Rhinolophus ferrumequinum: one gene and its partners. The protein of the gene in region 3 purifies or fractionates together with the protein of the main gene of each other region. This does not show direct contact. Links are inferred from orthologs where the notes say so. Each region holds a gene or a part of one and is shown on either strand. Other genes may lie near its edges. The genes, in order: LRPPRC, AURKA, NFKB1 and SPAG9.

The links.
Region 1: the proteins of NFKB1 (region 3) and LRPPRC purify together in Homo sapiens (affinity purification with mass spectrometry; 3 studies listed by BioGRID and IntAct, with this or other methods). This does not show direct contact. The link is inferred for Rhinolophus ferrumequinum from reciprocal best matches to the Homo sapiens genes NFKB1 and LRPPRC.
Region 2: the proteins of NFKB1 (region 3) and AURKA purify together in Homo sapiens (affinity purification with mass spectrometry; 4 studies listed by BioGRID and IntAct, counting the BioPlex papers as one, with this or other methods). This does not show direct contact. The link is inferred for Rhinolophus ferrumequinum from reciprocal best matches to the Homo sapiens genes NFKB1 and AURKA.
Region 4: the proteins of NFKB1 (region 3) and SPAG9 purify together in Homo sapiens (affinity purification with mass spectrometry; 5 studies listed by BioGRID and IntAct, with this or other methods). This does not show direct contact. The link is inferred for Rhinolophus ferrumequinum from reciprocal best matches to the Homo sapiens genes NFKB1 and SPAG9.

Annotation. Positions count from the first base shown.
Region 1 is NC_046296.1:41,111,278-41,118,519, forward strand, and holds the start of LRPPRC (leucine-rich PPR motif-containing protein, mitochondrial), read left to right. Parts: upstream 1-4,226; 5' UTR 4,227-4,273; coding exon 4,274-4,422; intron 4,423-7,242. UniProt on the Homo sapiens protein: May play a role in RNA metabolism in both nuclei and mitochondria. In the nucleus binds to HNRPA1-associated poly(A) mRNAs and is part of nmRNP complexes at late stages of mRNA maturation which are possibly associated with nuclear mRNA export.
Region 2 is NC_046306.1:5,113,469-5,120,976, reverse strand, and holds the start of AURKA (aurora kinase A), read right to left. Parts: upstream 3,019-7,508; 5' UTR 2,898-3,018; intron 134-2,897; 5' UTR 129-133; coding exon 87-128; intron 1-86. Other genes in the region: CSTF1 (cleavage stimulation factor subunit 1), read left to right, coding at 6,040-6,208. UniProt on the Homo sapiens protein: Mitotic serine/threonine kinase that contributes to the regulation of cell cycle progression.
Region 3 is NC_046288.1:53,442,308-53,450,099, reverse strand, and holds the start of NFKB1 (nuclear factor NF-kappa-B p105 subunit), read right to left. Parts: upstream 3,010-7,792; 5' UTR 2,870-3,009; intron 1-2,869.
Region 4 is NC_046304.1:32,604,740-32,611,601, reverse strand, and holds the start of SPAG9 (C-Jun-amino-terminal kinase-interacting protein 4), read right to left. Parts: upstream 3,023-6,862; 5' UTR 2,858-3,022; coding exon 2,555-2,857; intron 1-2,554. UniProt on the Homo sapiens protein: The JNK-interacting protein (JIP) group of scaffold proteins selectively mediates JNK signaling by aggregating specific components of the MAPK cascade to form a functional JNK signaling module.

The DNA of each region.
Region 1 (7,242 bases), on a different chromosome or scaffold from region 3:
TCTTACAGCTGGTTTGTTTGAACGATCAAGCACCATTTAAAAAAAAATGAAATAGAAGAAAATAGATTAGTAAATATCCCAGTGCATCACAGGTAACACAGCTTCTTATTGTTTTATGAAATTTATTTTTGCATGTGTGTATTTGTGTCACTTATAAAATGTACTTTCTTACCATTGGTCACAGTCACAGAGGCAGGAAAGCCACTGGTTTCGTGATCGTCTCCGGGCAGACTCGGCAGTTTTAGGAGGGATGTATGTACAGGAAGGAGAGCTCTCTCTGCTCTTGCTGTTCCCAGCGCCTGGAACACTCCCCCCCCATCCCCCCCCCACCCCCGTGCCACCATGTCCACCATTTAAAATTCTTCCCCAGCCTTCAAGGGCTGAAATGCCATTCCCACCTTCTTCTGTTCTCCAGCCCAGCAATCACTTGGTTTGCCTCCTCTTTGTTGCACTCATCACACTGCCTTATGTAATGATTATCTGTATACAATAGTATGTATTTTATCCTCCCTTAATAAAATTAAGCCCATCAAGTATAGTATTCATAACTTCTTTGCCCTGGGATGTAACCTGCCCTATGCTTTGCTTACACAAGACATTTAACAGCTGAATACACTGAGTTAGGAGTCTGAGACCCTAGTTATAGGTTATTAGGCAGTGAAGATGTTGGTGTCAAATATCAGACCCAAGGAAAGACTGGAGAACCCAAATGCGTGAGGTTTAGACGTGATTGTGAAAAGCAGCAACAATCGTAGTAGCTACATTATTTTTCGGCGCTTCCTATGTACCTGGTACTTTAAGTACTTTATGTATTTTAACTAACATTCCCCAAAAAGTCCTGGGAGGAAGGGATCGGTATCGCCAGTTTTACACATGAGGAAACCAAGCACTTAAATACTTTTGCAAAATCTTGCATCTAAGCTGTCCTTCCTAGTAAGATTCTGTTCAGAGGCTATACCATACACTGGGACATGGACCCCTAATTTTCTTATCAACATGTGAATCCATTTCATAGTTCAGAATAAGCTAAGGGAGAAACCAAGGATCATCAACCTGGCCTTTTCTTCCTCTTTGTCACAGCTTCTGGAATCTGAAGAAATCTGAGAAGAACTTGGGAAGTCTGAACTGAAAAACAAGCAAACATCACTCCTTCTTTCTCTTACACAAACATATGAAACACACACACGTGTGTGCACACACCTTGCATGTGTTAACAATTATTCATCCTTCCAATCTCAAGCTAAGGATCCTTTCCCTGGGGACTTTTTTGACTCCCAGGTGAGGCATACTCTCTCGTGGAAACAAGCTTCTTTCCTTCAGAACCTCTGTTTCAGTATGTAATTCATTCAGTGTGATTATTTGATTACCTTCTGGAATGTAAGCTCCATAACTGTAACGACCACTCTTGCTTTTGCCCATCATATTTTCTTCTAGCACTTAACAAGCTACGTGGCAGATCTTAGGTGTTCAATAAATAGTGAATTAATAAATCAATGCCTAGACGAATTTCAACAGTTGCTTCATACTTCAGGAGGAAACCCGGTACAGTAACAGAGAGAACGCTCGTTGGGGATTAAGGGTTTCAGCAATTAGAAGAGAAGATCCATTCATTCTCACTATTACCTCTATTAGTCTTGTTGCATCTATAACCAGATACCTGTCTTTCCTCTGTGACAATGACTGGACTGGCTGGATTCTCATCTAAGGTCAACCCCCTCACTTTTGTACTGGATCCCATCTCCTCTCGCCTACTTTGTGTACTCTTTCTCTCTCTCATGCATTATCAATTTTTCACTCCCTACTTCAGCACTGATCAATAGAATTTATTATGATGGAAATGTTCCCTGTGCTGTCCAATATGGTAGCTACTATTGGACACTTGCGGCTAATACCACTTGCGGCTATTGAGTTCTTGAAATGTGGGTAATCACTAAGGAATTGAATTTTTAAATTTTTATTTAATTTAACTTAAATAGTTACATATAGATAACTTCCATCAGCATCAAACATGTTATTTCTTCCATCTTAAAAAAAGTCAACCCCCCTTGATTTCACACGCCCTTCTAGATACCACCCCCTTTCTCAGCTCCCTCCTTCCCAGTATATTCTACAAAAGGTTTGTTATGCTCCCTGCCACTTCCCCTTCCCTCATGGACTGTTAAACTAACTTAAATCAATCTTTTGACTCAACATCACCATGGACCTCTGAGTTGCCAAATCCTATGGTCATTTTACCAGAATTAAAAGCAGCATTTTATGTGGTTACTTCCCTCCTCAGTTAATTGGGACTCCACCACTTTCTCTTTGTTCTCCTCCCCTCTCTGGCTATTCTTTCTCATTTCTAGTACTGGATTTTCATCTTCACATCCTCTAAATATTGAAATGTCACAAGCCTCAGTCCTTGGACCTCATCTCTTGACGATCTATATTTTCTTGCAAGATGCTTTCGTTCATTTCCATGGCTTCAAATAGTAGGTATAGGCCGGAGATCCCCCAAATGCATGTCCAACTCTGAACTCCAGACTTGAATGTCGTACAGACAACCCCCTACTCAAACTTGACATGAGGATGTCTAACAGGCACCTCAAGCTTACTATTCCAGAAGATCACGTTTGATTGCACCTTTTAAATCTGTTTTCCTTTAGTCTTCCTCCATTTTAATCAGTGCCATTTCCATTTTTCAAATTGCTCAGGCCAAAAATTTTGGAATCATCCTTGATCTCACAGCCAATCCATCAGTAAATCCTCTCGGTTCTACAATTTGAGTGTAAACCTGATCCTTTCTCATTATCTCGCCTGCCACCCCCCTATTCCGAGCCACTAACATCTCTAGTTATTGTAAGAGCTTACTCATTGGTCTCCTACTTTTATTTAGCTGTATTTCCTTAGAACCACCTCTCCAAACAGCAGCCAGTGATTCTTTAAAAATGCAAATAGGTTCATACAGCAACATACCAAACTTTCCAATGGTTTCCCATCTCATTCTGAATAAAAATCAGAGTCCTTACAGCAAGCGGGATGTAACAAGCTGCAAGATCTGGCCCCAACTACCTCAGACCTCCATGCCCACTCTCTCTCTCCTCCCTGCCTTGCTCTTTCCTCACATCCACTGTCCTTACTCCTCTTTGAAGGGGGGTAAGGAGAGATGAGCTAGATCACCTCAAAATACACATTTACTCAGTAAATACGGAATGAAACCTACTGGGAGCGTGGCATTGAGTATGTGCTTGGGCTACAAGATGCAGTCACACACTCCCTGCTCTGAAGGAGCTCAGTGTCCAGTGGGATAAACAACCAAACCAGGAAATTACCATGGAGGGCTTCCAGAGGAAACTTCTGAGTGTTCACCTGGGCATGGGTAGGATACAGACAGGTAAAGAGGAAGTGCTTCCCACGTGTGCACAGGGAACCCTTCCAAACTGTAAACCCTGTGAAGGCAAGGGCCTCCTGTTTTATCCCCAGATTTGGCTCCAGACTCTTAATCATATCGTTCTTACCTCCGATGCTGGTGCATTTACTGAAGGAAGGGCAGCACGGAAGTTGGGGAAGATAAGTTCAGTTCCAGCTTTAAAACTACACGACCTCTGTTAAGATCCACCTATGTCTTAAACCAGGTACTGCTTACAGACTTAGGGTTGGACCTAAACGTGTATCTTTACATTGTCCCCTGACCCCAATAGTACAAATCACATTGTATTTATCCTTGGAGGCTACTAGCACAGTGCAAAGGTCCTCAACGTTTCTTCCCTTCCACTTTTCTGAGAGCTATGGAATCTTCCTATCAGCCCGGCAACTTCGGCGCCGAGTAGAAACGGCTGAACGCCCGCAGCAAGCTCCGCACTCGACAGAGAATCGCTCCGCACTCCGGGAATCTTCATAGTCGGCAATTCTCGAGAGTTCCCGAGGGTTTTTGCTGGTTGGCCCCCCGCAAGCCCCTGCGGTAACCTGGGAGGAGTCGACCTCTTCCGACTCTACCAACTGAAAAGCTCAGGGGGTGGAGTGATTTAAAATGATGAGACGAAGGACAAAAGACGGAAAGACAGTTTTCCTTAAATAACGAATCAAGCCACATTGTCATTAAAACGGGGTATGGGACTCTCATATCTCCTCAGCGAAATAGGTCTTTCCACTTTCCGAGCTAAAACAACCCTTGTCTCCCCCTACATCTGGCGCGCTCGACCTTTGGTCTCTCCCGCGCCGGGCGACCCCGCGGTCACGTGCTCCTCCTGTCCTTCTAGCCGAACGTGCAACCTGCAGTGGGGACAGCGGAGCCATGGCAGCCCTGCTGAGATCCGCCCGCTGGTTCCTCCGTCCCGGGGCGGCCCCGCGCTTCCCGATCTCCCTGCGCCTCCTCGCGGGTGGCCCCGGCCGGCCGCACGCTGCCCTCTGTCGGCCCGCCGCTCGCGCTGGGCCTGTCGCCCGGTGAGTTGCCCAGGCAGTTCCCCCAGCCCGCCTGCAGCATGGGCGTCCCCTGGGGTCATTGATGCTGCTGAGGGACGGGCCCCTATTGTGCCCTCTCCATGCCTTTTTTGCCGTTCCACGGCCAACCGTCCCGGGGTCTCGAGCCAAGCTCCCCAGGTGACTGGGTTGGTTGTCTTCAGAAGGTCATGGCCGCGGGCATGGCTTGCTTCCGTCTTGGATTCTGCCCTCGGGCCACCGGTATTTACGGCCTGTGTAGCTGAGGGCCTTTGAAGTCTGTCTACAGCGAGGGTCAGGTGTTAGTCCTCTCCTTAGGATGAATCGGCTTGGGTGCTGTCCCACGTGCAAGCATTATTGGTGCTCAGTAACCAGCTAGGACTTAGATTTCGAGAGTTTTATTGGTGGGGAGGAGGATAGGCTGGGAATTTTGGGTGAGCTAGGGATCGCTTAGCGATGGACGTTTCATTATGATCAGTTTGGGCTTTTGTCTGAATTTTCTTGAAAGGAGTTTTCCTCTCAGTATTCACAAAGGTATGATATGGGTTGGGAATTGTCACAGTAGGCTCTTAGTGTAAGTGAATGAATGAGTGCAAAGCACTCCGTGGGGTTCTGGGGATGCGAAGGCAAGTTAAATTCTCAGTGGGTGTCAAACGTGTAAATAAATGCCCTCATGAATTGAGATTTATCAGGAGATTGGTTTGGTATATACTTTGGTGGGAGAGGCGATAGGGAAGCTGGATGAAATTGTTAATTTGCATAGTATTCTGAGAAGGGGAGATGGGCGCTGAGGTTTTAGAATTGGAGAAAACTTGATTTCGAAAGACTGGTGTTTAAAGTAAAGGTATTTTGGAAGAGCGTGAGGACTAAGAGCTAAGTATCTGGAATAGACCAGGGCTGGACTGCAGACCTCTCTATTTGCATAATACCATTGGACAAGTTACTTGACATCTCCAGGCCTCAGTTTCCTTAGTTACAGATGGAAGTTGTAATAATGTTGGTAGTATTGCATGTAAAGCATTTAACATAAGGCCTAGTACCAAGTAAGTGCTTTATTAGTTACTATACTAGTAATAACTATGTATGATTACATGGATCTTTGTGGAGCAGCCTGGAAACCTCTCTACGTAAAATTGTACGAAGGAAATGTTTTATGACTTAACAACTGAGTTATAAAATCTTTGGAATGTAGCCTACTTGTAACCTGGAGCCTGTCTGGATTTTCTCATTAGGCCTCATTAGTTAACCTTCAGAAGTTTCACCTCTGCTTTTGCAGAAGTAAGTTTCTTGTGAAAAAGTCATGCTAATTAATTACTCTTATTTTTCTAGTCCTTAACATCCCTCTGGGGCCAGAGGAGGGTCATTGTTACTGTTCATGTTCACTGTTGGGTTTGAGGGAAACAACAGAGAGAACAAAGGAGTAGAAAGGGTATTATAAAAGGTCTGGGTGTTCATCAGACCTGGGGTCCTTTGACTTGGCTGTTTGATCTTACCTAACCTCTGTGGTCCTCAGAGGTAACAGGCCTTCCTCCTTTGTAAAGCTGATTTCCTGTCATTCAGGGCTCAACTTAAATGCTGTCTCTTCAGAGAAGACTTACCCCAACACTCAATCTAAAAAACTATCCTATTTTAGTTTTATCATGGCACGTTTCACTTGTTGATAATGTTTATTTTTCCTGTCTGTTTTCTTAGTAGAAAATGAGTTGCATGACAGCAGAACTTTGTCTTGTTCACCACTGTGAACAAGCTCATCACTCAGCGCATAGCAACTAATAAGAGAAGTATTTGTTCCTTTTTCTCCTTCAGTATGAATACTTGTTTCTAAAGTCTCCTGTCCCTCAGCCTGTAAGCTGCCCAGATCCCTTCCTTCCCACCTGTAAAACAAAGCCTTCCCTGGGACCCGGGACTTACTCTAGATGTTTCCCAATCTCTCTTTCCTGTCTGTGCTCCTATCTCCTTCATTTCATCACTTCACATTCACTCTTCTACCCACTGCATTCATCACTGCAAAAGCCATCATTGTCTTGTTTACTCATTGTTATTGTGTATCTTTTTTTTATTAACTACATTAATTTTTATTGTATGCTTGTGTATTTTCAAACTATAAAATTTGTGCTTTGGGGAACAATTGCAAAATACAGGGAAAAGCAATAAACTGAAAATCATCCTTAATTCTTCTAATCACTTACAATTAGACTCCTAATCACTTACAATTAGACTCTGTGGTAGCTCCCATTAGTTCCCGAATAAGGTGCTTCATGATTTGGATATACCTCTGGAGCCTCGCTTCTTAAGAGTTTTTTCCCATGGCATCCTGTATTCTGGCCATACCAAACTACTACTTCAAAGTCAGCAGGGCTTATGAAACTATAATGAGCACAAGAATTTCTTGGAGATCTTGTTAAACAGATGTAGGTTTTGATTTTGTAGGTCTAGGCAGGGGATGGAGATTCTGCATTTCTAACAAGCCCCCAGGTGATAAAGGTGCTGCTGACCTGTGGACCAGCAAGGCTCTGATGGGCCACGGTGTACATCTCCCTGCCTTTGCATAGAATGTTCACTTTTGAGGTGTCTCCCCTCCCTCCGCTCAAGTGTTCTCTCCTTCTCTGTTAAATCTTTGTTGACTGCTTCTCTCTTCTGACCTCTCCTTTCTTCTGCTTTCTCTCACAGCGTGAATCACTAAAGTATCCATTAACATGATTGCATGTGTACCCTCCAGAACTCCAGACCTGGCTGTAAGTCCCTTGAAGGCAGGAACTTGGTCTTATGCTTTTTGCCTTGAGTTGAGTATATCAATGAAAATCTTAGACTTTGAGGACGGAATAT
Region 2 (7,508 bases), on a different chromosome or scaffold from region 3:
CCAAAGTGGAGGTGAAAAAAATTCCAGCTAGAGGACCGATCTCCATACGGGTTTTATAAATGGGACTCAGACCACAGCTTATTTACCTTAACAGGCCCTGAAATGCAGTTTTCCTTAGGTTTGTCCATGGTGTCTGAAAAGAATAAAGAAGAACTTTTAATTTATACAAACCCACCTGCTTCAAAGTATTGTTACGCTGCATCAGGGTGACAGCGCCTGGAAAAAGCCTCAACAACACAGAATTTTACCCTTTTTCTTCGTCCACAAGAAGCTGATTAGGGCGTAATGCTTTCTCGTGATATAGCGTACAGGTGTGGGCTTTTCCCCATAAGACCAACCTCCCCCCATACACTGCGTCCCATCCCCTCCCTTCCCCAGTACTCAGACTTCACTCCTGATCTGACTCGTCCTACTCCGTCATCTTCTCTCTAATGAATCACTTCCATCAGTATATAAGCCTGCTCGCATACCTACTGGTCTTTAAAAAAAAAAAGTCCTCTACCCCAGAATGGACTCAAGATATGACATCTCTCACCTCCCCTTTCAACAGCAAAACTCTGCAACAGTCCACGCGGTCATCTCTACTACCTGCTCTTTCTCACACCCTCCCTTGAGCCCGCTCCCATTTATTAGTCAACTTTCTGACTGACCCCTACTATCCAAAACCAAAAGTCAATTCTCCGCCTCCATCTTACTTGCATTCTAGGCAGCATGACAAGCTCCATCGCTCCTTTTCCACTCCTTTCTTCACTTAGCTTAGACTTAGGCCTATGAAGTCTCAGAACCTGGACCCTGACCACCTCTCCATCCTTATCTCTTGTCTACTGCACACCAGCCATACGGGGTTCCTTTCTTTCCTCAAAGGAGTTCCCTGCCACAGGGCCTTTGCACTTCCTGTTCCCTCTACCTATAAGGCTTTTCCCCCAATAGAAGTGCGGCTTGCTCCTTCACTTCAGTCTATGCTCAAATGTCCCCTATCAGACCACCTCTCCTGCGTTTTTCTTCATATCCCTTACTTAACATTTTACTTACATAACATTACTTGTACTTGCTTCCTGTCTACCCAGACTCCAGCTACCTGTTCAGTATCTCCAAAGAGAGTAAGCTCCAGGAGAACAAGGAATCAGTCCCATTTTTTTCACTATCTCCCTCAGAACCCAGAACACGCCTGGCATGTGGCATGTATGCCAATGTATGGGGAACAAATAAATCCATTAACAAAGCAAATCAACCATAAAAGTAGTTTACAACACGTGGTAAGCCCATACTGTGAATCAGGCAGCAACCTGTCAAGTAAGTAGATCATCAATAAGCAGAAATCTTTCTGTATTTTTCTCACCCAGGTGCTCTCTGAATTCTAGAATCCAATTAGAAAGCATTCCCACACTAGGCTTTCACATCCACTTATTGTACATGCAAATCACTGCACCTTGAAGATGGGACCAGGGCTGTAGAGGTTAGCATCCTTATATCAAACAGTGGGTAGGAGAAACAATAGATAAAAAGGAGAAGGAAATATATGCTCATGTGTTGCAAATGTTAATCTCACACACCCTACTGCTTGCTTTCCTCTCCCTAACAATTAATTATAAGCAGCAGACTAAGGAAATCACGTAGACCTAAGGACACCTATTCAACGTTCTTCCACAGAAACTGCAGACATGGGCTCCACTTTGATATCCTTCTCAGGTAGATTAATAATAATAAGCACAAGGAATAAGATTTTGATCCAGAAATTCTGGAGAGAGCACCCGGAAGACAGCTTCTCAGGTGCTTCTGGTGTGGAGCCAAGTTCAGGAGTCACATGACCAGATGACCTTCACAAGATCCCTGCAGTTCAAACCAGCGATCCTGGTATTCTACACAGGAAAACTGTTAGATAAGCCCTGTGGGCTTAGACTTTTCCTTCCTTCGTGCAACCTAGTAATATCTGCATACATGAAGAGGGGTGGAGAGGAAATGAAATGAGGTATGTTGCTGAAAAGGATTTAATTCAAACAAGCAAAGCTGAGGAGGAGACATTAGACGTCAAGAGCAGTCGCTACATATACATCACAAGGACAGTTCGAAATAGAGACTTTCAGGCCCACCCCAGACCTAACAAATCAGATCCTGCATTTTAACAACATTCCCAGATGCGCCGGTCTAGATCACTAGTTGTCAAACATCAGTACCACCTGGGGAGCTTGATAAAAGTAGACACCTGAGTCCTATGCCCAAGCCCTTCGTGATTCATTGGGTGGGCCTCTGTGCTTAAGAAAAACGCCCAAGTAATTTCGATATAGGCGGTCTAAGGTTTGAAAAGCCCAGGAAGGCTTCTGACTATCATGGATTCACCCCCTCGTCCATCCAGCCAGGGCAAGGGCCTTTCCTGGCTGTTCTACCCAAGGCAGCCCCCGGTAAAGCGCACACACACTGTTTTATCTCTTTCCTACCACTCATCACTATTGGAAGTTACCCTTGCTAGTTCGTCGTCTGTCTCCCCACCCCCACTAGAAATAAACTCCAAGACAGCACACACCTTCTGTATTTTTTTCTTACTCAGGCGCTCACTGAATAGGAGAATCCCAACAGAAAACATCCCACCCCAACAACGCCATTAACGCCAGGTGTTTAGTAAACACTAAGCGGCATTTCACAGGGAGCCTTGGTACCCAGGAGCAGCTAGATGGGAGAGCGTTTGCAAAGCGCACGGGAGACGGAGAACAGGGAAAGGGGGACAAAGAGAGGATGGAGGGAGGGACAAGCGTAGGACAGAGGGGGACGGGGAACCAAGGGAGGCCTTCTCACCCCGACTCTTCCAGCCCGGGACTCGCGGCCTCAGTGCTCGCTTCCCTCTCACCCGGCCCGCCGCCCGCTCAAAAAGCCACCCAGCCCGGCCGCCTTTGCCTGCCCACCTCACAGAAGGACACCAAGGCCTAGGCACCTGTTGGCTCTCGCCTCCGACCCAAAGCCGCCGAGTCTTCCCGAGAGCCCAGCCGTTAGGATTCAAAGAGTCATTTTAAATAGGAGTTAAACTCTCTAATCCAAAAGCTGATTGGCCTGGGCTGGGGAGGCGCTGCATTTTCATTGGTTCACAGGCAACTCTGCGGATTGAGTCACGTCCAAGGACGGCAGACACGGCGCGCAGGCGTACTTGCGCGTTAGGTCCCGGAAGTGGTGGTGCCAACGGCCCTGCAGGCCTGTAGCTGTTCTAGCGCCCGCCGTGTTCTCCAGGGCTTGACTTTTGTCTGAGACAGAAGCCCCTTGGCTTCAGGGTTGTCTCGTAGGGGATAAAGTCGGAGGAGGTGAACGGACGGACCCCTTAAAGGCGCCAGTAAGTAAGATGGCGAGATGGACCGGAGAGAGTGGGCCGATCGATAGCGCAGCGCTCGGTGCGGCGTCCTTTGCGCGTGCGCAATGAAGGTGCGCTCGGAGTGATCAATCGGGCAGGATTCGCGCCTCCATTTTTCTAGCGGAGAGCAGGAGAACGTGAGAACCGGACAAGCGGGTACGAGGGCCCCGGATACGTGGAGAGTGGCTGGTGCCGTTGGCTGGGGCCTTTAGGGGACCATGGGAAGGATTGGGGTGAGGCGGGAAGGGTCGATAGTGAGCGAGGAGGCATGCGCCCTGAGTTGCCAGGTTGGGCCTGCACCCCCCCTGCTGCACACAGGCCTCGCTCCCACCCTCATTCCATCCTTACTTTGCCTCTGTGTCGGGACGGTAGCGGAGCGTTAAGTTCTGAGCTGTGTGTGTTCCCTCCCTGGTCCGTCTTCTGGCTCCTGGGTTGGGTTCTTCCTGTCCTCGTGCCTGGGCGTCCTCACCTGCAAATCGGGGGTGGTAATTAGGCGCTTACTAGCCCAGCGAACGAACTTTCCGTGGGAGTTGAGAAGCGGGGCTCGTCCTCTCTTTAATTTTTTTAACTCTCTGTGTACACCTCTTGTTGCTCTTGGCAGAAGTGGAGAGACGGGATAGAAAGCGATTAAGTTCTGGGCTCCGGTGTGGACGGTCTTGGCGGCCACTTTCACCTTGGACGAGTTACTCAGCCACATTTTACTTTCAGTGGGTCTCTTTGATCCAGTTTCATCATCTCTTTTGTGTCTACACAAGCATAGGTTTATATACATTCGCTTCTACTTGTACTTAAATACATTGAATGATGTTATGCAATGAGCTAATGCTTATAAAGTACTTAGCATGGAGTCTGGCAAGTGCTTAATAAATGTTAGCTGTTGTTCTTAACACCCATCAGTACAGCACAGTAAAACTCGGGCCCTGGGACCAAATAGACTGGTTAGGGTCCAGGCTGTGCCATTTACAAGCTGTTTGATTCTGGGTGAGTTAAATCTCTCTGGGCCTCAGGTTGCCCATCTCTAAAACAGGATTAGATGAGGATTGAATGAGGTAATGCATGTTAGTTGCTTACAAGATGTGTTATGTACTGTACTGAGTGGCCAATACATTTTAGCTAGTTTATTGTTAAGTTTTTAAGGAACACTGCAAGAAGTGGTTAGGAATAACGGTCTCTATAGAGTCAAACCACTTCTGTTCTAGTCCTGGTTCCTCCAGGCACAAATTGGGAGACCCAGGGCAAGTTATTTCCCCTCCTCCGTAAACAAGATTATAGGACCTCCCTTATAGGATGGTGTTGAGGAATACGTGAGCTAAAACATGGTAAACACTTGGTAGATGTTAGCTCTTATGATCTGGAGCCTCAGTAATTGTGTAGTTAGAAAACATGGTTTCCCACCCCTTTCCTATAACACCCCCCTTCCAGAGTCACCCCTGTAAAGTACAGCAATACCAGGAGTGCTAGTGTTACTGTTCACTCACTCCCCTCCCTCTTATTCATCTCTCTCCCATGCTCTCCTTCCAGTTTTCTTCTCTACCATAACTACATGGGACTTTTATTTATTGCTGTCCCCAGGCTCCTTCAGCCTTCTGAGTACAAATACATACACACATTGACTTTTTTTTTAAGATTTTTTTTATTGTTTATTGGAGAGGGGGAACAGGACTTTATTAGGGAATAGTGTGTACTTCAGGACTTTTTTCCAAGTCAAGTTGTCCTTTCGATCTTAGTTGTGGAAGGTGCCGTTCAGCTTCAAGTTGTCCTTTCAGTCTTAGTTGTGGCGCAGCTCAGCTCCAGGTCCAGTTGCCATTGCTAGTTGCAGGGGGCACAGCCCAACATCCCTTGCAGGAGTCGAACCGGCAACCTTGTGGTTGAGGACGTGTTCCAACCGCCTGAGCCACCGGGCCGGCTCCACACACGTTGACTTTTGATAATCATATTGTCTAGTCATGTCCACCTATTAGAGTCCTTTTCTTTTTTGCATGAACCAGAAACCATCACTACCATTTTCTCTTCACTTTCTAAGACTGAGGGAGAACTCAGACACTTATAAATCAATCTAAGTGTACAGTCTTTCAGAGTTTTACATTTTTTTCCATTTATTATTATTGTTTTGTCCATATGCTATTTGTTCATATTTTATTAAGCAGTTCACCTTTGAATCTTTCCAAAGCATTCACTTGACTTAGTTTTCATAGCACAGTAGCTTTTTTGCCTTCATATTTTATTTACTGTTTAATTAAATTATATAATTTAACAACCTCAGTTGCTTTAAAACTTTTTAAGAATGAATATAGCTGACATTAGTAAGCATACAGCTCAGCTGGTGGAAACAGTAGTGCCTAGACATCCAATAATAACAGCTATCTTACCTGTTGCAAACACCAGTCAATGTTTTATTAACAGAAGGAATGGAAATTCTGGGATAGCAAGAAAATGAAAATCACAGGTGGGTAGTTTAGCAGAGAAGAAATGCCCTACATACACTATCTTGTTTAGCCATCACTAACTTATTTAACAGCTGAGGAACCAGATTGAGAAACGAGGTCGCTGGGCAAAGATAATGCAGGTGGTAGAGCTGTGACTGATGAGCCGCAAATCTGACCCGATTTCTTGGTTGCTTCTGTGATTTACCGGTGACCCTCCCCCTCATCAGCCACTCGTTTTCTCTTGCAGCTGACAGGGAAAGTGTCTTCCGCGTCTTCAAGATGTACAGAACCAAAGTGGGCTTGAAGGACCGCCAGCAGCTCTACAAGCTGATCATTAGCCAGCTGCTGTATGACGGCTACATCAGCATTGCCAATGGCCTCATCAACGAGATCAAGCCGCAGTCTGTCTGTGCGCCCTCAGAGCAGCTCCTGCATCTCATCAAACTCGGTAGCTTGGGAGTGCACGTTGATTGAGCCCATGACGAGGTTTCAGATGTTTTCACACATCAGAATTTTTCAAGACATTTCCACTTAATTTTAGTGCCTAGTATGTGTCAAATACAGTGCTAGATACTGAAGGAGTAAGGATCGTCCAAATTATGAAGACTTTGAGCTGGTTCCAGCCTCAGCATCTTTATGCGAATTATCTGGAGCATTCTGTCATGTGTAATTTTTTTCAAGTCTCAGCTCAAATTGTCATCTCTGAGTCCTCTTTTCCTCTTCTAGAATAACCCCACCATCTTCGCCAGTTTCTCTAAAACAACAGTCCCATTTCCTTCCTAGCAGAATTACTGTCTGAAATGTTCTTTATTGCTGTAGGTTTTCCACACAATCCATACCTCCCCCTTCAAAAGAAGCGCAAGCGCCAGATCAGGACCTTGTCTTGTCTTGTTCGACAGTGTACCCTGCTGCTTGCCTGGGTCACGGAAAACACTCAGTAAAACAGAGAATTACCAAACATGCTTATACCCTTTGACTTGGCAGGGCCAATTGTGAGAATTTGTCCTGAGGAAATACAATGAATACAACTGAAATGCACAACGTGTATCATTAGTTAATAATGTTCTGATAGCCATACAATTGGATCCAACAACGTGACGTAGATGAACATTTATTACACTGGCTAGATGTTTATTCTGTGTGAATAAATGAACACGTCATATAGTGTGGTTCTTCTATTTTTAAGAAGTGAAACAACTTTGTGCAGGGGGAAAGGTCCAGAAGAATTCATACTGCCATGTTAACAGTAATTACCGTTGGGCGACATAAGATCATTTTTTTTTTCCTTCCTATGGATATTTTCCTATGCTAGAAAACATTGTTTATATGATACGTGAATTATTTTTAAATTTAAAAATGCATGTTGATAAAGTAGCAGCATTCTTTCAAATGTTTCATGTTAATGCTAATACTACCTCTGACATAATGAGCGTCGTAGCTGCTAACATCTCAGCACTAAAAATATTAAAACCCGGAATGGGCAGAAATGGACAATTTAACTACCGAATGCTGTTTTTGAGTTTCTGTAGTTGCAGTTAAGGTAGAGAATTTTGGAGGCAAAAACTGGGGGGCGGTGACTTTGCGTGTTGAAGCCTAACCCGCATTGCCTTACAGTGTTGTCTCCAAGCATGCAACCTGGTCGGTGTACCTAGTTTTGTAAAGTATTAAGTCATGTACCTCCACGACACAGTGAGTTGACATTGGCAAACATCTTGCCCGATTTTAGACCCAGAGCTTGTCTTGGTCTT
Region 3 (7,792 bases):
TGTGCAAAGAGAGTTAATTCCCAGAAAGCAGGGTAAACTGCTTCAATGTGGTTTACTGGTTACCAAGAAAGCGTTTGTCAATGAACTCATATCATACATAAACGTAGATGTAGAAACAGAACATTTGAAAGTGTCCTCCAGCACTAAAATTCTATCCTTCCTTCTTCTTCTCCTTCTCTTCTTACAGCATATAGCAATCATGCCACCTTTTATGAGTCATATAAACAGAAAACCAATCAAGCAAACAAGGCAACTTTCCTTCTAAGTAAGGTAAATTCATAAGAAATTTTGCTTAGCCATTGATTCTTATGTATCCATTCCTGCTAATGTGATTCATGTTCAATTTGTAGACTAGAAGAGCATAATTTGAATAGTTACTCTATTGGTTAAACAGCTCTGCATTTCCAGACACACTTTCTACTGCAGTCATCTCTATGTTCAGAACAGGACACCTACTAATAAGTTCTGAAGAAGAAAAAGATCATATTTTGACTATCAAAAATCCATATGGAAACTCAGATATCATTTTTTAAAATGTATTGTTTTAAAATGTCAACTATTGTTCTTTCTTCTCCTAAGTTCAAACTAATTGAAGGTTATGAAGTAACCACTTCCCCTCAGAAGCCAGAACTTTCACCTCTTGTGAACAGGGGAATACTGGGTAGAAAATGAGGCCCTGCTGATTGAATGAGAGTCCCAGATTCCTATAGCCTCCAATTCCTTATCTAGACCTTCTATCTACCACAATAAGCAGTACCTGAAAATCAGGTACTACTAAAACTTATTTCATCAATTATCTGGAAGTATGAAAGCAGTGGTAAAAACAACCTGCATATGTATTTGTTTCTCAAACTAGCTTCAAATTGTTTCAAGGAACATGACAAGAGAAATACGTCTCTGAGGAATACAATCACTAAATCTAAAATTCTGCCTATTTCTGACTAATTGAGCTTTTACCAACTGCAACTCAGTCATCACAGACAATTTTGTTTTAAGAGGTAGAAGAAGGAAGTGCAAAGATCAAAGCAGAGCTTAAGAAGGGGAACAACTATTTTTGTATGTATACTCCAGTATTTACTAACTGGGTTTGAAAAATAGAGGCATTTATTCAGCTGATGTGAATGCCAACTGCCGAACATAAGACAAAATTGAAATTACTAAACAAAAATAATAGACTTTCCAATTGCCCCCAACCCCAACTGGATTATAGTATTTCCCTTAAAAAGTCTTCTCAACAATTTAGAAGTGGTTTACTCTTCACAATAAGCAGTATTTCGGTGCCAGCATTAAATCTACACATAATGAGTCTTCCTTTGTGTTCACGTTTGTCCAGTAGGCTGTGGCCCAGGAAGACATTTTATCTAAACGAGCTCCAGGAGGCATTGAGGAGCTGCAGGTATATCAATATGGATAAACAATTTCAGGAGATTTCATGTTTACATTTACCATGTATGTTCTTCTCACTGTAGCAATTTAATTACGTGATCAATGTAAAAGGCTACAAGAAACAAGTCTTTTTATTTCCTGGCTTCCCAAGTTCATAAGCTCAAAAAAATACTTTGCTTTAAATCATTTCCAAAATTCTTTAGTGCATGAAATAGTAAAAGAATTCATTTCTAGAAAGCACAATATTAAAATCAGGAAAACAACATGATTCAGCCAAGGGCTTTATTTTAATCAAGATTCCTTTTTAAAGTTTTAACAAACGCTAATGCAATTCAAAGTGCTCAAGAATACTCAATTGAGGTATTGCTAGAAAAATAAGCACTGAACATCTTGATCTCAAACTTTAGGGTTTCCAAAGCTCATCAGTTTGTAGAACATTTGTATGCCAGGGCTGTTGAGTGTTTTAGTAATACTGTAGTCATTTTCTCAGATTATGGGCTTTATGACAAAATCTGTAAGTTAAATATAGTTATTTAATAAGCTGCAGTGCTGAAAAACCCTACTTAACAAATCCATGAAAATGTCTTAAATCTTGATAATCAGATACTGTGTCATTAAGTCCCATTTAAGTTTCAGAATAGGCCAATAAATCAGGGCAAACACCTCCATCAGTATTTATTTATTTTTAAAGACCATGAGAAAACTTGGATCTAGGCTAGGCTTTGTTTATAGCATTTTTTTGTTTTAGAGGTCATGCACAACACATGGTACCGTTTTCCAAGTGTTTCATAATCAGAGTGTCCAAAAAGTGATCTAAATAGGTAATTTCTTTTCTCTCTCAAATGCCAGGCCCTGGAGATCAGTCTCAGGCCCTCGTTTTTTTTTTGAAAACCAATGTCCAGATCCTATAGTAGGTGAATATATTATGTCCTGGTGCGTGTGTGTGTGTGTGAAGTGGGGGCTTCTTTTTTGAAGGAATAAGGCTGTCCTATTCAATTTGGGGGAGCTGGGGAGGGCTTCCCCAGCCGAGAGGACTGCCATGCACTTCTGCTTTCATTTCATGGAACGCCCTTAGGTGAAATCTGGTTCAGCACTGCACCAACCACCTTCCCCTCTTTCCTTCGCGCCCAAGCGCACCTCAACCTTAAAGCCACCCCGCAGCAGGGAGTGGGGGTGAGGATTAAAAAAAGTTTGCCAGAGTTCCCCTCTGGTTCCGTTCCCGCCTGGCGGAAGGACGGGAAGAGAAAGGGCAGCCCGGGCAGCCGTGGCCCTCGGGCCGACTGGCCCCCGCCAAGTCCGGATGTGCCTTTCCCCCCTCTCGCCAATCTCTTAACTCCTGTCAACCTCCTCCTAGGGTCCAGGGTAGCGGCTATCGCAGGAATGAGGAAGTCCTAGCAGGGCTGGAGGGGTGCGGGGCGGGTAGGTGGCGGGACTCGGGCCGCAAGTCCCCGGCGTGGCCCCCACTTGCCCGAGTTTGGCTTACCGTGGTGGCGGGTCCGCGCTCGGCCTCCCGGCGCCTGCGGGCTCCCCCTCCGGGGCGGCGCGGGCCTCGGGGCCGCGTTAGGAGGAGGCGGAGGCCGGCCGGGGCCAAAGCACGTCCGAGTGCGGGTCTGATCGGGTCCGGACGAGAGGGCGCGCGGTCTCGCCGGGCCGGGCCAGTCAGCGCCGCGCCATGTCGCAGCGCGGGCGGAGGGAAGCGCGGGGCGCGCGGTGGCCGGGCCGCGGCGGCGCCGCCTTCCCGGCCGCGGCGGCTCTGGCCTGGGCTGCGCGGGGTCTCGGAGAGGGGCCGGCGGCGGGGCGCAGGCCGAGGGCGGCGGCGTTGAGGAGAGGCCCGACGGACGGGCAGGGCAGGGGAAGCTGTCAGCGCGTCGCCGGGCCGCTCCGGTGGCGAAACCTCCTCTTCCTGCCCCGGCTCGCTGGTGCACTTCTCTGTCTCTCTGTCTTGCTCACTCTCTCACTTCCTGGCTGGAAATTCCCACTGACGTCGAGCGAGAAGACAGACAGACGGACACACGCGCGCACGCCGCGGGGGCGGGAGGTGGGGTCGCCACCGGGGGTGGGGGAAGCCCGCACTTCTGGGGCCGCTGTGCGCCCCCGGTTCGGCCCCGCAGCCCCGCTCGGCTCCCGCCCCTCGGGGCCGCTTCGGGGCGGAGAACGAGGCGCGCGGTCCGAGGCCCGGACGCCGGAGTCCCCTGCGGAGCTCCTGCTCCCGGGCCGGCGCTCCCGGAGCCCCGAGGGCTGGAGCGGCCAGGGACGCCCCCTGAAGCGCCACCGGGGCCCGATTGCCCCGGGAAGCAGGCGGCACGGAGGCGGTGGCGTAGGGCTGGCTGTTGGATTCGGGAGGTCCAGAGCCCCTAAGGACAGGCCCAAGCACCTGGAGAGGATGATGAGTCGGCGTGGAGCTAAGCATGCCTTGTATAAAAATAAATCTCATCTGTCTGTTCCCTTTAAATTGTCTCAGTTACACCCAAATCTTTTCACAAATTAAAGTGGAATTTCTATGATATAACCGACTTCTGTCCAGCGCAGTCTGAGCATCTGAGTTTCGGTAACTTGGTTGGGACTTATTCTGAACTCCCATCTACAGGGCATTATGATAATTACGGTGGATAGAATTATAGTGATGGTGGTAGCAGTGGTTTTGGTCCACAGCTCATAAAGAAATATTGATCCAACAGAAGGGAGTTTTTCTTTTTCTTTTTCTTTTTTTTCTGGAGAGACCGCTGCTGGAACGTCCAGCAGGCATCCCACCATTCACTAGATCTGAGCTTCTTTACTTTCCAGGCATTGCGCTAGACACGGGCTGGGGATACCCTGGGGTAGTTTAGCTCCCTCAATGAGAAACTTTGAGTGGATATTTTAGAGTTCATTATCTCACCACTGTGACAACTGCATATTTTAAAACATAGGTCATCAAGCCATCACCAGGCAGTGTTGCTATGACATTGGATTGCCCCTAGCAAGTTGGCCATGTTCCCTTTAGTCGTCCTCCTCGCCCTTGCCCCAACCTCCCCAAGGTTATAAGAATCTTCTTGGTGGAGTGTTTGGCGGAGAAGTAGAGATCCGTTTGATTGGGTCCGGGGTGAGTCTCTGCAATGACCTTGGGGACCAACCAACAATCTACGTTCAAGGGATTTCGTTTAACTCCCACAGGCTGTTTGAACAGCTGTAATTCAGGCGATTTATGAAGACTGAAGACTGTTTTACAAACACTGCGTTATTACGTATGGGACATTATTAGAAATTGCGCCAATACTGTATTTTAGATTAATATATCCTTTGTATATATTTTTTGGTCACTGACATGAGCATAAATAGTGCAAACTCCCATGAAACAACCAAGTATTAGAGGAGTGGTGGTGTTTTTTTCTTGTTTGTGGAGCAGGTGTGAACAGCCACACTCTTCATTCCAGGCATGGGGTTGAGGCGTTGAGGGGGTAGTGAATAGCCTGTTGCCGAAAGAATGGACAGACAGGGTTGGATTGTTGGAAGAATAGAGCCAGCGTGACATATTGGGAACAAGTAAAAGGTGTTAATTAGTGAAAAACATTAAATTAAATTTCAAACTCAAAATTATCCAATAGAGTGGACTTAAAATTGAGGGCTGGGTGTTAGGCAGGAGTATGTAGTTTCCTAGAGGTACCTTAACAAGTTACCACAAACTGGGTGGCTTACGACAATGGAAATTGATTCTCTCACAGTTCTAGAGGCCAGAAATCGGAAATCAGGGTGTCAGCAGACCCATGCTCCCTCTGAAGGCTCCAAGAAAGAATCGTTTCTTGACTCTTCCTAGCTTCTGGTAGCTCCCGGCTATCTTTGGTATTCCTTGGCTTTTAGCTGCGTAACTCCAATTTCTGCCTCTGTCCTCACATGGCCTTCTTGCCTGTGTCTCTGTATCCAAATCACCTTCTTCTCTCTCGTATTAAGACACCAGTTATTGGACCTAGAGCCCACCTCAATCCGGTATAGCCTCATTTTACCTTCATTAATCTGCAAAGACCCTATTTCCAAATAAGGTCATGCTCATATGTACCTAGGATAAGGCCTTGGACATATTTTTGAGGGGGACACAATCAAATACACTAAGCAGACAAAAGTATAAAAGCCCCCAGTCTACTCTTTTTGGCTTATCAGTTAACCTTTCTGCATTGCTGCTTTGTTTCCCAATACTTACTCTACACCTGCTTCCAGGAGTGTTTCTTACAAATTAGGTGTCAGAGGGCATTTGCCATTATCAGAGTATAATGAAAAAAAAAGCCTAAATGTGGAATTTTAGGCATCAAGTTTATAAAAGTTGTACTGTGTTTATCACTAAATCTTTGAAATCACATGAATTTCCTTTTTCAAACTGAGTATTATAAATGTCAGTGTCCAGAAGTTTGTTAGGTTGAGATCTATATAGTGTGTCCATTGACAATGAGAGATTATATAGTGTGTGAAGGGGATTCACAAATACAAAATTATACATCTGAGCCCTGCAAACTCAGACCCATCTTGTGGACAGGAGTGAACTATATTTCTGTAAAGGGTAGAACTTGCTTCAGGTCACGAAGGCACCTCAACATGCTTAGAAACACTCAGACCACAGCTGTTAGGTAAGATAAAATGGAAAGACTTGAGTAGACTTGAAATCAGACTTGAGTTGGAATCCTAGGTTTGCCTTGAATTATCTGTGTAATTTTTGCCAAGTACTGCTTTGTATGAGTTTCAGTTTCTTTGCCTGTACAATAATCATAACATTATAGTTCATATGATGAGCTCTAGAATAGCTTTACATAACATTTTATGTATGTTGTATTGCTATGATCTGAATATTTGCATTCCCCCAAAATTCATATGTTGAATTCCTAACCCCTAAGGTGATGGTATTAGGAGGCAGGGCACTTGGGAGGTGATTAGGTCATGAGGGCAGAACCCTCAGGATTTGGATAAGTGCCCTTATGAAAAAGACCCAAGAGAGCCAGCTGCTCCCTACCATCGTATGACGATATAATTAAAAGTCTGTGACTTGGAAGAGAGCCCTTACCCAACGATGATGGCACCCTGATCTTGAACTATGAGAAGTAAATTTCTATTTATAAACCACAGGGTCTGGTATTTCGTTATAGCAACACAAGTTAGTAGATTAACACATGTATGTATACATACATAAGTAACAACTTATATGTTGCATTATGCATATATGTTACATTATTACAATCCTGCCTCACAGAGGTCTAGAAACAAATAGGAGATAAAGAATGTAAAAGGTTTTACAAACATAAAGTTAGTCTAAGAAAAAAGACTTGAAATTAATTTCCTTGTGGGCTTAAGGGACTTCTATGCTTGCACTGTTGACTACTGGGGCACACAATAGTGGCATCTCTCCTTGTTGATAGTGGAGTATTTCATTACACCTCCATTTAAAAGGCTTGCCATATTCTGTCTTGTGCTTGCAGTTACAGGTCTTATTGACGGAGCACTCAATTAGCCTGTATAAGTGGTTACAAAAGAAAAAGAAGATGTAATCTCTGCTCGCAATATAAAGCCAGGAAGAATGACCTCATATAATAGCCAGGACAAAAGTGATTTGTGTAATGGGTCATATCACCAAGAGTAAAATCAACAGAAGAGGGCGTAGAGATCATCTTCCTCTCGAGATTATATGCAGAATCCAGAGTTTTATTCCGTTGGCAATGCAGACACACTGAAATGAGACAATAAATTTACAAGAAGAATGTCACTGGTCTTAAGGATACTAGCATCTTTTCTATCAATTCAAATGAATATTTACGCACTATCATCACTGCCTTCAAAGAGTTCACAAAACACAAAAGAGTGCGTGTAATTATAGTATGAGGCAGAGTACAGTAAATGCCTTCATGGAGGTTTAAGCAAATGCTTAGGCATAGGTAGGGAGAGAGACCACAGTGCTTGCATTGTGCCTGGTGGTTAAGCTCTCGGACTGAGGAAAACAGGTGCTACCTTCAGATTGGAAGCCAGTGCCTGACTGTGCCCTTCACAGAAAATAATTCACTCCTGTTCTGCCCTGAGTAGTTATGTGACCCTGGACAAGGTGCATAACTGTTCCGGCCTTCTTTTTCTCATCTGTAAGATAGGATGATAGTTATGCCCGCCTTGTAGTGCTATTGTAAGGGTCTAAAGAGATCATGCACATGAAGTGCAGACCAAAGTGCCACATGCTCAGGAAACTCGCATTTATATTGGTTATTATTATGAATACTGTTGTTTCTTTCAGGAAAACTTGATGAAGAAGATAGCATGTAGTGGATGTTGGAATGGTAGGTATGATACAATAGCAAAATGATCAGAAGAAAGAAGACAGACAGATGAGGGGGAGTGAGACTTACAAGGTCTGAGTTTATAACATTGTAACAAAAAGACTTAAGTGGAATTGTACCTTGAA
Region 4 (6,862 bases), on a different chromosome or scaffold from region 3:
AAGCTAAGCCTACGTGAGGAGTTAGCCATGGTGAACCTCTGAAGGAAAATCATTCTAGGCCAAGGGAACAGCACAGGCGAAAGCATCAGACAGAACATGGTTAAGGAATGAAAAGACAGACTGGGGCAGGGAGCCCAAAGGGGAAAGTAGTGAGCAATATGATAATAGGGTTCCTGAATTTTTGAAACGGATCACAAAAATCAGCCTTCCTTTAGGTTGTTTTTGAAGACTTACAAAAAGAGGTTAATGCCACACAAAAAATTCAAATAAAAGCAAAGAAAACGAGAGAAGTTATTCAAATTCAGTAATATCGTTATAATAAAGATTAAACATCTGGTTCCTTGCTGAGAATTCCTGCAAGCAAGAGATAGCACTTCACACCTCTTAAAACATTCTCACCATTTACATATCCTCCTAAATTTCCACAAAGGTGTTTAGAATTTACTTTACAGTTTCTAGTGATGGACAATTTCCATGCTTTTAAATACTTTTGCTGTAAATACCCTGAGGCACTTTTGCTATAATAGCAGACTCTTAGTCTCCATATTAAAGGCCACAAACAAAACACTCACAGAAAATTAAACACAGAATTCCCTTCCGCATATTGACTTAAAAGAGACTGAATTTCTGGGTAGAGGGTAATACTTGATTTATGATCTTACATGAAGACTGATAACAAGGTGGTTTTATGTTTGTGGTCTGGGAGTTGGCACATCTAGCATTACATCAGTGTTCTCTATTCTCAGGTCATGGCCCTTTGCCCGAAGGTTTCATTATAGAGAATTTATAGATGTGTTTGAAAAAGTATAAATTACAAGAAAGTCACTGGATAACCTATTTTTAAAGTCATTTGCTTAAGAAATTAATATGCAATCCAGAGTCTAGCAGTTAGTTTTATTTTCTGATTCTGCAATCTGTGGCAGATGGTTTTCTTGGCACATGTGACCCTGGCATTTTGCCCTGGTTTTTGCATGGACTGACAGTTTAAGACTGGAGGGAGTATTTCTTTTATCCGAAGTTATAGGTCATGCTGGGCGTGCTCCTCACCTGTGTATATGTGATTAATTTCCCAGTCCGATCCAAGTACATCCACACATTAGCAAGGGCCTGTCTGAGCAGGAAGACCTGGTATGTATGCCACCTCAGAAGGAGTACATGACCTCTGTTCTATAAACAGTGCTAATAAACTAGTGGAAATTGTGACCCCCATCCTTGGATTTTTTTTCCAACCGCTCCTTCCCTATATGCTTGGAAATGCTCTTGAAATAAAGTCAATTTTGTTTGACAACATTTCTTTGAGACAAATGGATCACAGAATCAGAACTAAAAATCATAACTACAGTCAAGCTTAAAAAAGAAAAACGATTTGACCTGTCACAAAGGTATATGTGATGAAACAGAAAGTTTACATAGTGGTACTACTTAGTGTTAGGAAACAAGCTGGTAAACAAATCTCACATCCTAAAACCTTTGCAAGTATTTTTGAAACATACCACGTCATTCCTTCAATGAGTTAGCTTCCTTCAATCATCCTGTAATTTAGTCAGGTATACTAGATGCTCAGGAAACAAAGATGAATAGGATACTTCCCCTGCATTAGATAGTTCCATCGGAATAATGCCAACACAGCCTGAAAGCGAAAATCCTTGAAAGTCTCAAAAAGTCGAAGACCTATCTCTTGAACACCACCAGAGCTCCAAAAGGTTCACAGACCTCGGTGCGGGTACTGAGGTCACTGCTGAGGTGCTAGCCCGCCAAGCGCACCTGGAAATTACAGTCGTAAAAGGGCTGCCAACAAGTCACCTACACCTCCTCGACCCCGCCCCCGCCAGTCCTCCTGATAAACAAACAGGATATTTAAAGGGAACTGTCCAAGGTTACCTACCACCTGATATGGAGGAATGCTTTGCTGTGGGATACCAATAAAATAAAATTGTATACTCCATACTTACAGAGTATTGCTATACAACATCTCAGGGTTGACAAAGAGTCAACCGAGGCACATGAAACGTAACATAAAACCTCTTTCTCAACAGGGTTAAAACGTCAAGAAAAAACATGATCGAAAGAGGGAGAGCTCTAACTTCCCATAGCAGTAACCCCCGGGAAAGGTTTTGGAGTCAGCGGAAGTTACGAAGCCAGGACAGAAGTATTTAAATGCACCCCCGTCCCCAGGGTAAAAGTTTGAACCGCCATCTGAGTATCTTATGGTGGTCGGAAACTTCCCTAAACTACAAAAGGCAACCATACACTCTGAAATCTCTGCCCCCAGCCCACCCTAGGTGCCCCAATGCCAGGCTGTGGTTTCCTCCCGGGCCTTGCCTCCCCAGCTCCCTCCCTTCTCCTGGACACCCACTAGCCTGCCTCGGCTTTCCACGCCGGCCGGGGGTTTCGGGAACCTTGCGGCCGCCGAGGCGGGTCCGCGAGCCTCCGCTTCAGGCAGGCCCGCCCCCATCAGGCCGGACGCGGGCGCGCCTCCCCTCCCCGGCCGGGCGGCGACCCCGGCCGCCCCGGCACTCGGCGCGGACCCTCCCCGCAGCCAGCCGGCCCTCACCTCCTCGGCGTGCTTGCGCAGCGCCTTCTCCCGCTCGTACTGGGTGATGAGCTGCTCGTTGTCGTCCCGCAGCAGCTCCAGCTCCACCTGGTGCTCCTGGTCCTGCGCGAACACCGAGTCCAGGTTCTCCAGCACGGCCACCACCAGTGGCATCAGCTCCTTGACCACCTCCTCGTCGTAGCGCCCGATCAGCCGCTCGAACTCGCGGTAGATGGAGCCGGCCAGGCCGGACACCCGCTCCGACATCACGGCCCCGGAGCCTCCGGGCTCCTCCTGGTACACTACACCGTCCTCCAGCTCCATGGTGGCGGGCAAGCGGGCGGCCCGGGGCGTCGCCGGCTGAAGGGGCGGCACGGGCCCGCACGGGACGGGCCCGGCTGGGGCTGGGGCTGGAGCTGGGGCTGGGCCCTGCGGGGTGGGGGCCCGGGGCCTGAGGAGGGGAGGGGTGGGGTGAGCGCACTCAACCCAACGGCCGCTGCACCAACTGCCTGGGCGGCCCGGCCGTGCGCGGCACACGTCACCCGCGGGGCGGGACCGGCGCCGCGTCTGCCCGATGGGCGGGGCCCCGCGGGAGGCCAGGCGCGGCCGGGGGCGGGACCAACGCGTCATCATGCGCCGGCGGAGGCGGGGCCAGGCGTCAACAGTCGGCGCCGCGCGCGCCGTGCGTTCGCCAGTGAGAAAGACTGCGAGAGTAGGGTAGTGGGGACTGTGCGCTCTAGACGTGATTTGCAGGGCGGGGCCCAAAGGAAAGGGAGGGCTTCTGGAATCGTGCGTAGCTGTCCAGAATTAACATAACTAACATTTCTATTGTTTTACAGCTCACAAAGGGCTTTCTCATTTGTTCCTCAATACGGGCGCGATGAGGTAGACGTTTGACCTCTATTTCACAGACTAGGAAAGTAGGCCCAGAAAAGTTGTGGTTCACTCAAGGTCACGCAGCTAGAACGCGAAGGAGGCTGATCCGAGACTCAAACTAGTTCTGACTGAGAATTAGGCAGGCTCGGAGAAAAGCAACCTTAACCAGGTCAAGGTCTGTCTTAAGTGATAAGGAGGTCTCCAATAGGATAGACCTATTTGGGGATCATGAGTAAGGATAGGTTGAAACAGAGGAAGTGCAAAGCATTCTGGAAAGGATAAAATTGTGATGCCACATCTTGGTACTTTCCCAAACACTGAATTTCTCTGCTTCTCCCGTCCAACTTGGGAGAGGCATTTCCTGGCTCCAGCCAACCCCCTTTCCTCTTGTCTCGAAGTGGGGGCGGAGCGGGGAAGTGGGGGTTGGGGAACAGAGAAGGAAAGGGGTAGGATCACTGGGGTAAGTCCCATGATAAGTGAGGTCTCCACCGCCCGGGAGAGCATCACGTGTGGGGAATGACACACCCAAGCCTGCGGCGGGCTGAGTCTAGAATCGCTTCCCGGTGTACTCGTCTAGCTTCTGCAAAAGGATCGGAAGACACTCCCCAAAGCCCCTGCACTCCGCCCGCAGGTGACTCAGGAGTACTGCGGTCCAACTCTAATAAGAAGGGGACCCGGCGGGGGGCGGGGGAGGAGAGGCAGGCCTTGCATAAACAAGGGTGTAGTGGGAAATCGGCCACCTCCCAGGATTATAAATATCCTCAACTTGGTATTTACAAGTGCGAGTTCTTCCTACCGAGCACGAACTAGTCCTCCAAAGTCTCCCAATCTGGACCTACCTGGAGACCCACAAAAACAGTACGAAGGTTGAGCGAGGGCCAACCTATAAATTCAGAAGGACAAAAATGAAAATACTAAGCCTTATGAAGTCAGACGGGACTGAATTTGCGTCCTGTATTGTCCTTTCTCACTCTCACCCCACAACTCCACACCCACCCCTTAAATTGTTTGTGTATATCCCCGGCTTTTAGGAATGTCGGTCCGCTGGTTGGGTGTGAGCCCCAAATGCCCTTTCTCTTCTAAATCTCACAGTTGAAACCAGAAGAAGAGGCGTGCTTTGCATCTTTCTTTTCTTTTTTATCTCTTCCTGAGGGCTGTCACTTAGGCAATCTACCTATATATGTGCCTGTATTTTCCTGGGAGTCAGAGCAACAGGGAAACTCAGGGCAAGGTTTTACTTCGTCTTTCCCCAATATTATTATACACATAAATTTTTTTTTTTTAAGGAGGACGCAGGTCACCTTGGCCCATGCGGGGATCAAATCAGCAACCTGGGTGCTACCAGCACCATGCTCTAACCAACTGAGCTAACAGCACCCCTCACCCCCATCAGAAAATTTTTAAGAAAAAAAGTCTTGATTTTCAGGTATGAAATAATAAAGTCTTCATAATAAGTATGCTTCTTTACGTATAAATTCAACATAGAGATATATATTTATGTCTAGATTTTAAGCTCCTGCTAGCTATCAGAAATCAAATTTGTTTAAAATAAAATTCAGCCAAATATCCATCAACTGTTGAATAGAGAAATATGGTGTATGCATATAATGGAATATTTATTTTTCAGCAATAAAAAGAAATACATGCTACAACACGGATGAACTGTGAAAATATTATGTTTTGTAAAAGAAACGAGTCACAAAGGGCCACCACATATGAAAGATTATCGTGTTTCCCCGAAAATAAGACCCAGCCAGACAATCATCTCTAATGCGTCTTTTGGAGCAAAATTAATATAAGACCCAGTCTTGTTTTACTATAAGACCAGGTCATATATTATGTAAAACTGGGTCTTATATTAATTTTTGCTCCAAAAGACGCATTAGAGATGATTGTTCAGCTAGGTCTTATTTTCAGGGAAACACAGTAGTTGTTCTAGGAGTAGGTGGGAGAAAGAGGGAAAATAGGAGTGACCGCTAATGGGTTTAGGGTTTCTTTTTGGGGGTAATAAGAATGTTCTAAAATTGATTGTGGTGTTGGATACACAACTCTGAATATACTAAAAGCTATTGACTTGTACACTTTAGGTGAATTGTATGATATGTGACATATCTCAATGAAGCTGTTAAAATTAAGTCAAACTTATGGCTATAATGAGTTTATAGTAAACCAAATGGAAGTACATAACTCAGTGTGATAGAGTGGAAGGAAAATGGTTTTTAAATTGGGGATCTTATATTCCAATATGGACTGGTCATTTTGAACTTAGGCCAGAAACTATAATGCAAGTAGTTATTGAGTACTGTACCTACTAGGTGCCAGTGACTGTAATAATGGGCTGTGAGCCTCAGCTTCTTCATCTGCATGATGAAGAAGTGTGTTATAGAATCTGTAAAGATTTCTTGCAATTCTAAAATTCTGTGATTCTCCTTTGTAGGTGGGAATGAAAGACAGAAAAGAGAGGGCCTTGAGATAGAGTCCCGTTAGTCAACTCCTAATTATGTAGTCGGTAATGCTAACTCCTATACCCAACAGCTTGGATAAATTCCCAGCACCTACCTCTAACCCCAAGATCTGAGATTATTATTAAAGACTAAGAGTCATTCAAGAAAACAGGTCATGCAGTGGACTTTAGAGTAAATGTTTACTCTTGATTCCTAAAAGGAAGGAAATTCCATTTTAAGAAATTCTTTGGCCTTGCAAAAATAGAGGCCAGTAAGGGAGCCGCGGAGGGGAGGAGTCGTTTAGGGCAGGAAGGAAGGAGATTCTTCCTAAGTACAATAACTATAATCACTGGAAGACTAAAACGACTAGTCCTGTTGTTTGTCCAGCCTTCTGGAACTTTTAGTTATTTCTACGTGAATCAGTTTCTCTGGTTTCACAAATGACGGTTTCTCACATGGGAAGAGAGAATGTCTCTCTGCTGACAAGGGAAAAGAGGGCTCCCAGTTCACAGGGCCTTCCACCTATGGCGGTGTGAAATGATAAGTGATTCATCACCCCTTACAAACTAGAACGTGCTCCGCGACAAGGAGAAGCAGCATTTGCCACCTCAAAATATGCCTCTTTGAGATATATTAACCTGTTAAATAACGAAAGACTCAGAAAGAACCTTTGAACTTCACCCTCCCTGCCTAAAAGAATTTGGATAGAGGATCTGCTCCAGGAAGGGAGCTATTACTATAGAGTGTGATAGAGAGAAACCTAGAAAGGCACTTTTGATCAAAGTCCTGTCAGTATCCCCTTGTTAAAGATCCCAGCAAACACTGATTTACCAAACATTTGTTTTTCCATCTCCATGAGAATTGCCTTCCTGCCCTTTAAAATCCCAAATCACAACCCCACCTTCTCCTTGGTTCAGGATGGTTCCAGATGACATACAAGCCTTAACTTCCCCATCTGCCCTCCAGGCCCATACTGCTATGGCATCCCAGTATATATACATGTAATACA